Linked DNA regions of Mus musculus. The protein of the gene in region 1 binds, or shares a complex with, the protein of each later gene. Links are inferred from orthologs where the notes say so. Each region holds a gene or a part of one and is shown on either strand. Other genes may lie near its edges.

Region 1 (3,745 bases):
GAAAGACTATCTCAAACTGTTTTACCTTTCATTTAAAATACCTAAACCTTTGGTCTATAATATTTGCACACACACATACACACACATGCGTTTTTTCACTTTGAAATAAAAAAAGTTAAGTGAAAAAAAAATTGTAATTGTAGGAAATGTGAGGTCAATACTTGAGCATATAGCAATTCTGTACATTTGGTTTGTCGTTTGATTTACATTGGGGTTTTTCTATGTATCTTTACCCCTTGTTAATGATAAAACTATCAATGAAATTGAAATGAAATCTTCCCATGATGCATATTTTTCAACAAATACATTTGAAAAAATTTTGTGAATAGTTCTTATACCTGGTAATGTAGAAACAGTATGAAATCTAGGTGTAAGTCCAGTGTTTCCTTAATTATTACATTTTTATTTCAGAAATGAGCATGCTATGCCAGCTTCACAAAACTCATAGGACATCAGTTAGGAAGAGACAATGAATAGTGTAAATGGAAAACTAGACATGGGCTACTTTAATCTACTCCACTTATTCAAATTATTTTTTAATAGTACTCTGTAGACCTTCCTTTCTTAATTGACTCAAGAAATACAGTTTCAATCTAAACTTGAAAATATATTTCACTTCTAATGAACTCATATTTTAATAGATTCAAGAAAAGGAACTTATGGGTTTTAACAAATCAGTAAATGAAGCACGTTCAAAGATGGAAGTTGCTCAGTCAGAACTTGATATCTATCTCAGTCGACATAATACAGCAGTGTCTCAATTAAGTAAGGCGAAGGAAGCCTTAATTACAGCTTCTGAGACTCTCAAGGAGAGGAAAGCTGCAATCAAGGATATAAACACAAAGCTCCCTCAGACGCAACAGGAACTAAAGGAGGTAAATTACTTCTGTATTTCATCTGCATCGTCATCTCTAGAGTTATATGTGGGAGTTGTTTGTTTTGTTTTTAATGTCCAAGTTTAAAGTGGTTGTTATAAAAAAATTTTCTTAATATACTCTTGAATGAGGAAACATTTTAATATTTGAATTTAGTAATAATTAGCTGGACTTATAAATGTGGGTAGGGAGGTTCTATAGCATGTACAAGGCCTGGGTTCCATCCCTAATACATCCCAAAAAAGAAAGAATGGGAGTAGAGTCACTATTGTCTCCAAACACAAATAACCACTGCCACAGTCCCATAGGAATAATTAAACATTTCTCAGGCTGGATATGAAGCTCAGTTGGTAGAGTGCTTACCTATCCCTAGCCAGGAATGTCAGTGTGCCTATAATCTTAGCATTTGAGAGGTTGAAGCAGGAGATCACTTTTAAGACCAGTGTTAGTGGGGCTGGAGAGATGGCTCAGCGGTTAAGAGCACTGACTGCTCTTCTGAAGGTCCTGAGTTCAAATCCCAGCAACCACATGGTAGCTCACAACCGTCTGTAATGAGATCAGATGCCCTCTTCTAGTTATTTGAAGATAACTACAGTATACTTACATATAATAAATAAATCTTTAAAAAAAAGAGAGAGACCAGTTTTAGCAACATAGTAGATTCCACACTAGCCTATTTTCTCCCTCCCAAAAAAATGTTTCTCTAAATAGATAAATGTGGGTAACTTATATAAACATACATGAAAAGTAACAAAGTTTTTAAAATTTCTTAGTTAGACATCCCCACCACCTCCCGCCACCTGGTTATTTGAGGAACTGGAGAGGTGGCTTAGCAGATACAAGCATTTGCTACTCTTACTAGTTCCCAGCACGCGCATTGGGTGGTTCATAACTACCTGTGACTTCAGCTCCAGGGTTTCTGATACTCTCTTCTGGACTCCAGGGAAACCTACACCTACACCTACACACACACACACACACACACACACACACACACACACACACACACACAGAGGTATATATAGTTTAAAAATAAATATTTTTAAATTTTAGTAAATTTATACTGTTTGATCATCAGGCAGTTTCCTGATGTGTAAAATTTAAATGTAAATTAAATTATATCCAGTAATTATTTCTAGTGATTTGTTTTCTTTTGGGATTGTTTTTTATACTTTAAGCTTTTACTCTGACTGGGTCATAAGTAATAGAGGAGAATAACAGTTAGAGAAAGATGGCTGTTTCTAAATTGGGAATTGCGAAACTAAATTTGGGTGTATGATTCTTCTGGTTGACAGCCATTTCCGCCATCTTTTCCATCTCTGTTTAGGAACTATACCTTTTTGTTTTGTTGTTTACTTAGCCAAAAAGACAACAACCACAGAACTGCCCAGCTACACTTACCCTGGAATCCATTTCCTGGATTTGGTTTTGTTTAGGGCAGAACTTGAGAAAAATCTACTAGGGTTTTTATATCCCTATACTTAAAGAGATCTGGGTTTCCTCTTTTTGAGCCAAATAATTTATGCTTCTTTTAAAATAGGAGACACTCATCCGAATGTTTAAAGCCAGGCCAAAATAGCACTATGGAAGCTCAGTGTTACTTAGGGGCCTCACTTATTATTGTTGAAACAGTATAAATAGTTTTCTGCTGCTCTGTAGTGTAGTAAAGATCAAATGCTTGTACGTTTCATCTTCTCACTTTTAGAAAGAAAAAGAACTTCAGAAACTGACACAAGAAGAAATAAACTTAAAAAGTTTGGTTCATGATCTTTTCCAAAAAGTTGAAGAAGCAAAGAGTTCCTTAGCAATGAATCGAAGTAGGGGGAAAGTACTTGATGCAATAATTCAAGAAAAAAAATCAGGCAGGATCCCAGGAATATATGGAAGATTGGTAAGTAGATTTACGTTTTACTCAGAAAAGTCCTAAGAGCCAGGGTCTATATGAGCTCTGATTAGCCTTAAGCCAGCTGTAGCTAAGGTTGACCTTGCACTTCTGATCCTCTTCGGTCTTCCAAGTGCTAGGTCGGCGCTTGGCACTATACAAGAAAAGTTTTTTCAAAAGAGGGGGTTGGAGGGAGACAGGCAGGCCATGGTGATGCATGCTTTAATCCCAGTCCTTGGGAGGCAGAGGCAGAATTCAAGGCCAGCCTGGTCTACATATTGAGTTCTAGGCTGACCAGAGTTACACGGTGAGACCCTTTCTTTAAAATCAGTTTTAGGATGTGGTGCAATATTGCTTAGAGATCTGTTATCCTGTTAATCACCATGGCTGATTTGACTGATCTTACTAAATAAGCTTGTGCCTATTCTCTGTTTCTCCCTCACCGTTCAAAGTATGTCTTTCTTGAAGCTGCACAACTCATTCTAACAGATGACCTATCCATTTGGAAGAGGACTGATTTTTTTTATTTTTATTTTTTAATTTGGTCAAAGGTGTACCAAGTTGCTTTCCTTGCTAGGCCCAGACCAAAAAAAAAAAATTAATATAGTCTAGGTTTCATAACATACTTAACATTTTGGTTATGGTTTCGGGAGGTAGACTAATTTAGAACTCTGGTAGTACTAGTTTGGGGGATCTATACCTTTCTTAGCCTTAGCATGGAAGAATGCTATATGATTTAGAATGCTGTAAGTATCTCTATTCTATTCATTTCTTGCCCTGCAACCATAACTGAAACCTGAACCCATACAGTTGATGGTTCCCTATCAGCCTTCTGAAAAAAGAAACAATGATCTGGAAGGACAAATAGAATTTAACCAGCATGGTTACATCTATATCTGATATTAGATGGCTCCTACCTTATTTTCTTAAAGAAATGATCCTGAGTATTTGCTGTTAATAGATTGCTTCATAGCTACTTACATAATTT
Region 2 (4,219 bases), on another chromosome or scaffold:
AACAACATTATGAACTAACCAGTACCCCAGAGCTCATGTCTCTAGCTGCATATGTATCAAAAGATGGCCTAGTCGGCCATCACTGGAAAGAGAGGCCCATTGGACTTGCAAACTTTATATGCCCCAGTACAGGGGAACGCCAAGGCCAAAAAGTGGGAGTGGGTGGGTAGGGGAGTGGAGGGGTGGGTATGGGGGACTTTTGGGATAGCATTGGAAATGTAAATGAGGAAAATACCTAATAAAAATTTTTTTAAAAATCCTGAATAATAAAGTAACTGCTGGAATATCACTAAAAAAAAAAAAAAAAAAAAAAAAAAAAAAGAGTAGCTTTTGGGGTTAGAGAGGTAGTTTAGAGTACTCGTTGCTCTTGCAGAGGACCTGAGTTTCATTCTCAGCACCCACATGGTGGCTCACAAACATCTGTCATTCCAGTCCCGGAGGATCTGACACCCTTTTCTGATCTTCTCAGGTACCAGCCATGCATGTGGTAAATATACATACATACACACAGGGAAAACACTCATACACATGAAATGAAATATTTTTTTAAAAAGTAGCTTTCAACAAAAGGCAGAGTTTTGGTCACCATAATGAGGGGTACTGCTGATAGGCAGGCAAATAATGTCAAGGATGCTAAACAGCTACACCCCAGCCTCTTTTTAAAAAAATGATGGTAGGTAAATGATTTCCAAAAAGCTCTTTACAAGAATCTGGACAAAAATTTAGTTTTAAATGTGTGTGCATGCATGTGTATAGATATATGAACACAATGCTCTGGTGCAGATACACATGCCTGCACAATGTTCTGGTATGTCCATGTATAAGTAAGAGCATACACAATGCTCTGGTATGTGTGTGTATAGACATGTACACACACACACATACAGAAAACTCTTTGGAAATGTACACACATATATAAAAACTACTGGGGGTATAAACATAAGTAAACACAATGTTCTAGGGTGTGTGTACACACGCATACACAATGCTCCTGGAAGAGTATACACATGTAAACGCAATGCTCTGGGGCCTGTGTACACATGAGCACACACAATGTCCTTGTGGGTGTATACATACACAATACTCTGGGTGGAGTCTACACGTGCATACACAATGCTCTGCATTCCTTCTTGCCTGCCTGGAACTTCCAATAAGGGCAGCGTTTTCTACCGGCAAAGAACCTCGATTCCTCAGAAACCTGCCTCCCCGTTACAATCCAGATTCTAGGAAAGCACAGCCTTCGCCTGCCCAGATCCACACATCCTACTCCGCGCCCAGCGCTCGGCGCCAGAATGTTTCCAAACGTCTTCAGCTGGGTCACCGCTGCACCTAGTTCACTCGCGCGTAGACTCAAAACTGTCCAAGTTTCCGGGGCCACTCTGATCAGCCAGCCGCCTAGGCGGCCTGCGCAGGCGCACCAAAGACCACGCCCCAGTGACGTCACGCGGCGGTTACCGCGCTTGGCGCTCGCGATTTAAAACTTACTCCGGAGACGTGGAGAGCAAGATGAGAATTCCGCGCTCAGGTGAGCTCGAGTGGGTCCAGGCGCGGCTGGCAGGATCAGGACCGAAGGGTGCTCGCGTGGGCAGGTCCAGAAGGGACGAATGTGTTCGGCGGGGTTCGGCCGGGGGCTCCGGCGGGGGAGGGGAAGAGAGTGCAAGGGAAAGCGGGGCGCTGGGCCAATCAGGACGCAGCTGCCAGTGGCGGCTGGGCTCTAATACTCCCCGCGCCCTGGTTCTAACGGAGGATAAAGTGGGTTTTTTTTGTTTTTTGTTTTTTCTGGACTGGACGTTGTGTGGGGAGCTGTGGAAGCAAAGTGTCGACCGCTCTGTGTTGAGCATTCGTGCCTGTGTTTTGGAACTGATTCTAAAGTCTTGAGGGCTTCCTTTGGGACAGACCTTCGGTCAGACGCCGAGATTCGCAACCGAAGAAGCCTGGGCACTTGAGATGGAGACTGGAGGATTAGAAGTTCAAGGTTGTCCTCAGCTATAGCGACTTCGAGGCTAGCCTGGATTACAGGAGACCCACTCTGAAAGGGGGCGGGGGGTGGGGAACGAAACAGATAAATACCTTTTCCTCTTGGAGCTTGTGTCAAGTTGAGGTAGTATGGCAAATATTTGACAGATAAAACCTAGTGCTATAACTCCTGTCCGTTATGGACTCGAGATTTTTAAGCAAACATTGAGAAGAACTTTATGGGCTGAGCATCCTGTACAAGAGAAGAGCTAGGAAGGAACCTGGACTAGTCTAGGAATTAACTACACCGTAGGTTCTCAACCTTTGGGTGGCAGCCCCCATGGGGAGGTGTCAAATGACCTTTACACGGGGTTCGCCTAAGATCGTCAGAAAACACAGATATTTACATTATGATTCATAACCACTAAATTTACAGTTATAAAGTAGCAATGGAAAATAATTTTATGGTTGGGGGTCACCACAACATGAGGAACTGTGTCAGAGGGTCACAGCATTGGGAAGGTTGAGAAACTCTGAGCTAGACCGTCATAACTAAGCTTAGTGAGACTGACCACCTGGTAGACCTAAGTCATAGTTTTGGAATAATAGTTTCAGTTTGGATTTGTTGCCTGTGACTTCTGGAGAGGCGCTCAGGTGAAGGGGTTCGTATCTACTGGGCGAGTTTGACCGAGGTCCATAGGCTGGGAGGTAGATTTGTTTTTCTTCATCATGGAGATGATAAAGCCATGGGTACCGGTGAGATCACTAGACAGACCTTGCAGAGAATACATTCAGGACCTGCACCAGTTGTCCGGGTGTGGGGAGGAAATAACTCAGGTTATGGGTACCACAGGGCCTAGAGCAGCTCAAGAAGAAAAAGATGAGTCCCGAAGTGGGCACTTCAGGCTGAGAACCGAAGCAGAGCAGAGGAGCTGAGGAACGTGCTCTTGACTTCAGTAACAATCTGTTGAACTAGACTCTTGTCTACTGCCCACGGCAGAGAGCAGCGGGGGAGGAGTTAGCCCCTCCGTGCTTCCAGTTTCTCAATTCCTTTCCATACCCACATTTACAGAGTCACAGATGTCTTGATTTATGCCCATAAAACGTCTCTCATCTCCTCTTTTGACCTTTTTGTTTTGTCTTGGTGTGTCAACTATACTCCTCGACCTGTAGGAAGCATTGTAATGCCTTTCCTCCTGCTGCCCTGTGGACAAGCATTTGTTGTTTATTATGTCTCTTTGTTTACTTTTGTGGTGAAGCCTTGTACCATGGCGTGTGTGTGCCAGGCAAGAATTCTACATTGCTCTATACTCCCTGCCTCCTTTTATTTCTCCGTGTTCCTATAAAATGTCATCGTGCCACCTGTTCCTAAACAGCAAGTTCTGTGCCCGGGTCACTCCCCCCCATCCCTCCTCCCATTTCTCTCCCTCTCTCCTTTTCTCCCTTTTTCCCTCCCTCTTCCTTCTTCTCAGCACATGCCCACCTACCAGCCAAGGATGAGCGCTAGGTCAGGACTCCTCACTAGCTGTACCCACAGCCAAGTGATGGTCTTCCATTCAGGGCGATGGTGAAGCAGAGACAGCATAGAGACAGAGAGCTTGTTTGCTTGCCTAAAGTTTTCTTAGCTAATTCATTATAAAGCCAGGTTTAAAACAGTGCTCTCTGTTTCTTAAATCGGGGTAGGGATGAGGATGAGTTGGGTTCTTTTAACTCCTTCCAGGAATCTTGTGTCTTGCTCTAAAACAGTAGGTCAGCAGTGCCACAGTCACACGTTGAACATGTCATTGATGGGAGCCTCGTCAGCTGTTACCTGTGTGTTCACTATCCCCCCACCCCCACCCCCGTGTGCCCAGCTCATTTCCTCTTATTTACATACTGAGGTCGGCTTTTGTTTCTGCGGCTTCTCACCATGCAGTGCCACCTTGTGTTCCTTTCCCTCCTTATTTATGTTACTTTCCTGGTCAGTCAATATGATCAGGTGTCTCCCTGTGTCCTCTTGGCAGTGCCGAGAACGCTGGTTAATTTAAACACTGCCATTCTGCACACTTGACAGTGGCCAGAGAGACATCCTCAGGGCTGCTGAGTGACTGGTTCTGGGCCCTTCAGAGCTTCGTCAGCAATGCCATCCTCTCCACTTCATTCATTCCTAATCCTAGATGGCCACCTCTTCCTTTCCTTAGCTTTCCAGTGCCTTTTCCCTGACTGGCCCCCTAGCTGCTAAGTTCACCTGCGTTCTAGTCATAAAGAGAGTAAAAGCCACAGA
Region 3 (4,100 bases), on another chromosome or scaffold:
TCACTCACCACTGGAAATAAAGGAACACTTGGCCCACCTGTAGGGAGAGAAGTGGTCAGGGAGCCACTGTGTGTCTGCTGCATCAGGTGAGGCAGAGAGAGAGGGTGGGTTAGATGAAGGCTGAAGTTTTAAGTGTCTCACTTGCCTGGTAGGCTGATCGGTATGCAACCCAGAGCAGCAGGTAGACGAAGGGGTGTCTCAGAGAGTTCAGGAGCAGGGCGCCCAGGGCTAGCACGGTGCCCAATAAGGTCAGTAAATCCAGACCTTGGGCAGTATCCAGCCCCAGTCTTGGTGCCTCCCACAGCAGCGTTGGTGTTTCCCACAGCTGCTGCCACAGGCCCTTGCCTTGGGGCCGCAGTGTTCTTCGAGCAGGAAGGATGCCCTCTGGGCCATAGAGGCCTGTGGGAGGGTATGTCAGGGCCAAGTCTTAGACATCTTCCCAGTCTAACATGCACATGAACTTAGGCCCCGGAGATGCTCCACCACCAGCTCCTGGCATGCAGATGTCCCAAACCCCCAACTCCAGGTTGTGCTTGCAGATGTTCCCATCCCAGGCAGGGCTTGCTCTGTCTACCAGATGGTCTCTCTCTCTCACGTTGGAAATTGTTGACCCCCAACACCAGGTTCAGAAGACCTGATTCTGGGTCAGCACCTTCTGTCAATTAGAGCGCATCCCTCTCTTACCTGCCCACAGAGTCCAGGTAGAAATCTGCCACCCACTCCCCTCGGGGTTTTTCCCTAAGCCTAGATGAGACTACTAATAGTTAAGGGAAATCGACCCTTGTGCTTCTTTTTCCTCCACTTTTGTTGCCCGCAAACTACCACCCCTTAATCCCGCGCAGAGAGAGGCCTGGACTTTACACCCGCCTCAGAGGGCAGTGAAGGAAGGGATGCTACCACGTCCACGTGTGACGATTCAACCCCTCCGCGCCCTCACCTGGGATCTGGGTGTAGAGGGACGCAAAGGCGAACAAGTAGACAGCGGCCACACCCTGTAGGAAAAGCTGCTGTGGGACCCGGGAGCTCGCCATGTCCGCTACGCGGTCTTGCCGAAGTAGTGCCCTCTAGTCTCCTAGCTGCCCCCAGCCCGGCCTCTGGCCCACGCCGCAGCCGGAATCCGTCAGTCCGGTCGGGTCACTGAGCTCCACCCAGTGCCAAAGAACTCACCGCTAACCACCTAGAAACTTAGTCTCCTCCGCTCCTCCAGGCCCCCCCCCTAGACACGGAGCCCCGCCCCCGGTGTAGGCCCCGCCCCCGTCGGGCCCGCTTCTTTACTTCTTCGAAACTGGGCCCGCCTGACGTCATACGTGTGCGCGCAGTGCCCTGGCTACGTACTTCCGGGGCGGGAGCACCAAAATGGCGCCAGAACCAGTAGCGGGTTGAGCCATGGTTCCGGGCTTCTAGTCCCGTTCTAGACATGGAGGATGTGGAGGTGCGCTTTGCTCACCTCTTGCAGCCCATCCGGGATCTCACTAAGAACTGGGAGGTGGACGTGGCGGCACAGCTGGGCGAGTATCTGGAGGAGGTGAGGGCGGCGGGGGAATGGCATCGGCCTGGGCGCTCAGGCTGCATTGCCACCCCCCGCCTCCGGGTCTGTAGCCGTCTGGTGTGTCATCCGCAGTCTTGTTTCTTTCCTCACCCCCCTTCAAAATCCAGCCTGCCTCTCGAAACTTTCAGCTAGATTCTCCCGGAGCTGTCCTTTTCAGGCCTCTGTCGGTTAGCGAGCTGTGAAGTCGATTTGGTTGGATGATAATCATTTTTCTCCAACAAGTACATTATTTCCGTTTTCTTTGGGGGAATACAATACATTAAGAAGCAAACTTTTTGTTTTCCCCTTTTGGGGGCGGATTTAACCTGGGGCTTTGGACAGGTTTGGCAGGCACTCTACCACCGAGCTTTTTTTTGGAACCTGTTTTTCTTCTTGAGCCAGGCGCCAAGGCAGGTCTTAAACCCGAAGTCTTCTGTCCCAGTCTCCCGATTATTTGCAACTACCAATCAACCCTACCATACCAGGACTCTTACAGTAATGGAGAGAGATCTGGTTCCCGAAGGAAAAGGGATTTTGTATCTTAGACCTCAAGCCCCGCCCACACGATCTTCCCGCAGTGCGACGCACCCATACCCCAGGCTCTTAATTTGAACCAGTTTTGTCCAGAAGGATCCGCCCCCTCCCCCATCCTGTTGGTGGCCCAGCCCCTCGCCGTAATCTAGCCTATCAGCATTCCATTCCTCCGTTTTGTTTTTTTTTAAGTTCAGGTCTATTCAGTCACTGTCTGCTCCGTTTCTGCACGTTCACACTTTGGCTCAACACAATCGGATCCCACTACTGAATAGTTACAGGTCTCAACTCGAACTGTAGTGGTCTTCGTATTTAAAAATAAAAGAGACGCTCGAAGTGCCCTGTTGGGGAGATTTCTCGGTCTGACAGCTTCCTTTTTGAAACAGTGCTCTTAGGATTTCTATTTGACTGCTTCTGTTTTCTTTCTTAAGTGTCGAGCTTCTTGGGGTGGAGTCTTCTTTCCCTTAAAAATAGAAAATCTTACTTGTGTGATTTTTTTTTTTTTTAAATACAAGTTTTCAACTCCATGTGGTGGGATACACCCATACCGATCTTCCTTGTGAGCTGTCCCAGATTTGTTTGTTCTAGCCACTCCCTTGGCATGTGCTGGGATGTTACTCGAGCTCTTGGATGTTATTTAAAGTGGAGCTTTTGGGTTGTGGTTCAAATTCTAGTCCTCTATTTTGGTAGTGTTTCACTGTTTAACTAAAGGTGAAAATTAAGAGATGTGATAAGGCCTCATGTCTCACACCAAGTTTACCAATGAATTGTGTCAGTTATATTGCAAGAATATACTTCCTTCCCCACTATATCTGGTCTAGGTGTATTAAACCTAGATATTTAAAACCTTCTCATCCAGGCTCTTAGATTGGACACCATCCAGTCTGAAGAATTAAAACTGGAGACAGGGATGGGGGCGCAGGGACCTGGAAAGCTGCCTCATCAATTCAGAGCACTGACTATTCTTTCAGAGGACCCAGGTTCAGTTCTAAGCACCCACAGGACAGATCGCAGCTGTCTGTAATCCCAGTTCCTGGGGATCCAGTGCCTTCATCAGGCCTCCACTGGCACCAAACATACAGGTGGTACACAGATATGGATACAGGCAAAACACCTACATCATTTTTTGTTTTTAGAAAATTTAAATCAGGGCTAGAGAGATGACTGGATAAGAGCACTTGCTGCTCTCGTAGAGGACCTGGGTTCAGTTCTCAGAACCAAAAAAAAAAAAAAAAAAAAAAGTAGCTCACAATGGCCTGTAACTCTACTTCCAGAGGTCCCAGGGCCATTTTTGGATCCATGAACCCCTGCAAGCACATGGTGCACACACATTAGTGCAAGCACACACACATCTTAGGAAAAAAAAAGTTATAACCAGGCCTCAACATTGCATAGTTGTTTGCTTGCTGGTTTGTGGTCTGTCTTTACCCTACAGTATAAATTCTAGAAGGGTAGAGATTCGTATATGCTTTCTTATTCTTTGTAGAATGTCTGACACAGTAGGTGCAGGATAAATGCTTATTAAATGAACATGTATTTTTTTTTAAAAGACTTATTTATTTATTATATCTAAGTACACTGTCGCTGTCTTCAGACACCCCAGAAGAGGGCGTCAGATCCCATGATGGATGGTTGTGAGCCACCTTGTGGTTGCTGGGATTTGAACTCAGGACCTCTGGAAGAGCAGTCAGCGCTCTTACCCGCTGAGCCGTCTCTCTGGCCCTTGATGATCAACCTGCACTGCACAGTTGGCTGAGAAGCGCCAAGAACAGTATTAAGAGGTCATATTGTGGAATCAGGTTTTCTTAAAAGGATCTGTGGGCACACTGTTAAATTTGTTTCCTGGCTTGGTCAGCTCTTCTGCTTCAGATAAGGCTCCTTTCCTGCCCCCGGGTCTGTTCCCATGATGTCTTTAATCTCAGCACTTGGTAGGTGGAGGGAGGAGGATCAGTTCAAGATCATTCTTGGCTCCAGAATCCATGTGAAGCCTGAGCTATAGGAGGCCCTGTTTCAATTATCAAATAACAAGAAGACTATGCCA

What was found. Proteins that work in one complex are often made in the same cells at the same time.
Region 2: Smc4 (region 1) and Ncaph share a complex: the UniProt entries of both Homo sapiens proteins name them as parts of the condensin complex. The link is inferred for Mus musculus from reciprocal best matches to the Homo sapiens genes SMC4 and NCAPH.
Region 3: the proteins of Smc4 (region 1) and Ncaph2 are in contact, whole or in part, in a cryo-EM structure (PDB 9F5W), measured with the Homo sapiens proteins. The link is inferred for Mus musculus from reciprocal best matches to the Homo sapiens genes SMC4 and NCAPH2. Residues at the interface, in NP_001002800.1 of Homo sapiens: Ile100, Leu101, Gly102, Pro103, Ile112, Gly113, Pro114, Ser117, Gln1151, Met1152, Leu1155, Phe1227, Lys1228, Ser1231, Ile1232, Phe1235, Tyr1236, Glu1239, Gln1240, Asn1253, Asn1254, Phe1256, Glu1257, Arg1261, Gly1264, Ile1265, Tyr1266, Lys1267, Thr1268, Tyr1269; in NP_689512.2 of Homo sapiens: Arg494, Ile495, Trp498, Glu499, Thr501, Val502, Leu505, Leu506, Gln509, Glu510, His512, Phe547, Cys550, Arg551, Met553, Leu554, Leu557, Gln558, Ala560, Asn561, Tyr563, Val565, Glu566, Ile567, Gln569, Leu573, Glu574, Ala576, Val577, Asp578.

The regions. Positions count from the first base shown.
Region 1 is NC_000069.6:69,021,585-69,025,329, forward strand, and holds part of Smc4 (structural maintenance of chromosomes protein 4), read left to right. Parts: intron 1-641; coding exon 642-875; intron 876-2,580; coding exon 2,581-2,766; intron 2,767-3,745. UniProt on the Homo sapiens protein: Central component of the condensin complex, a complex required for conversion of interphase chromatin into mitotic-like condense chromosomes.
Region 2 is NC_000068.7:127,131,155-127,135,373, reverse strand, and holds the start of Ncaph (condensin complex subunit 2), read left to right. Parts: upstream 1-1,419; 5' UTR 1,420-1,506; coding exon 1,507-1,525; intron 1,526-4,219. UniProt on the Homo sapiens protein: Regulatory subunit of the condensin complex, a complex required for conversion of interphase chromatin into mitotic-like condense chromosomes.
Region 3 is NC_000081.6:89,354,419-89,358,518, forward strand, and holds the start of Ncaph2 (condensin-2 complex subunit H2), read left to right. Parts: upstream 1-1,300; 5' UTR 1,301-1,417; coding exon 1,418-1,525; intron 1,526-4,100. Other genes in the region: Lmf2 (lipase maturation factor 2), read right to left, coding at 9-37, 146-399, 938-1,031. UniProt on the Homo sapiens protein: Regulatory subunit of the condensin-2 complex, a complex that seems to provide chromosomes with an additional level of organization and rigidity and in establishing mitotic chromosome architecture.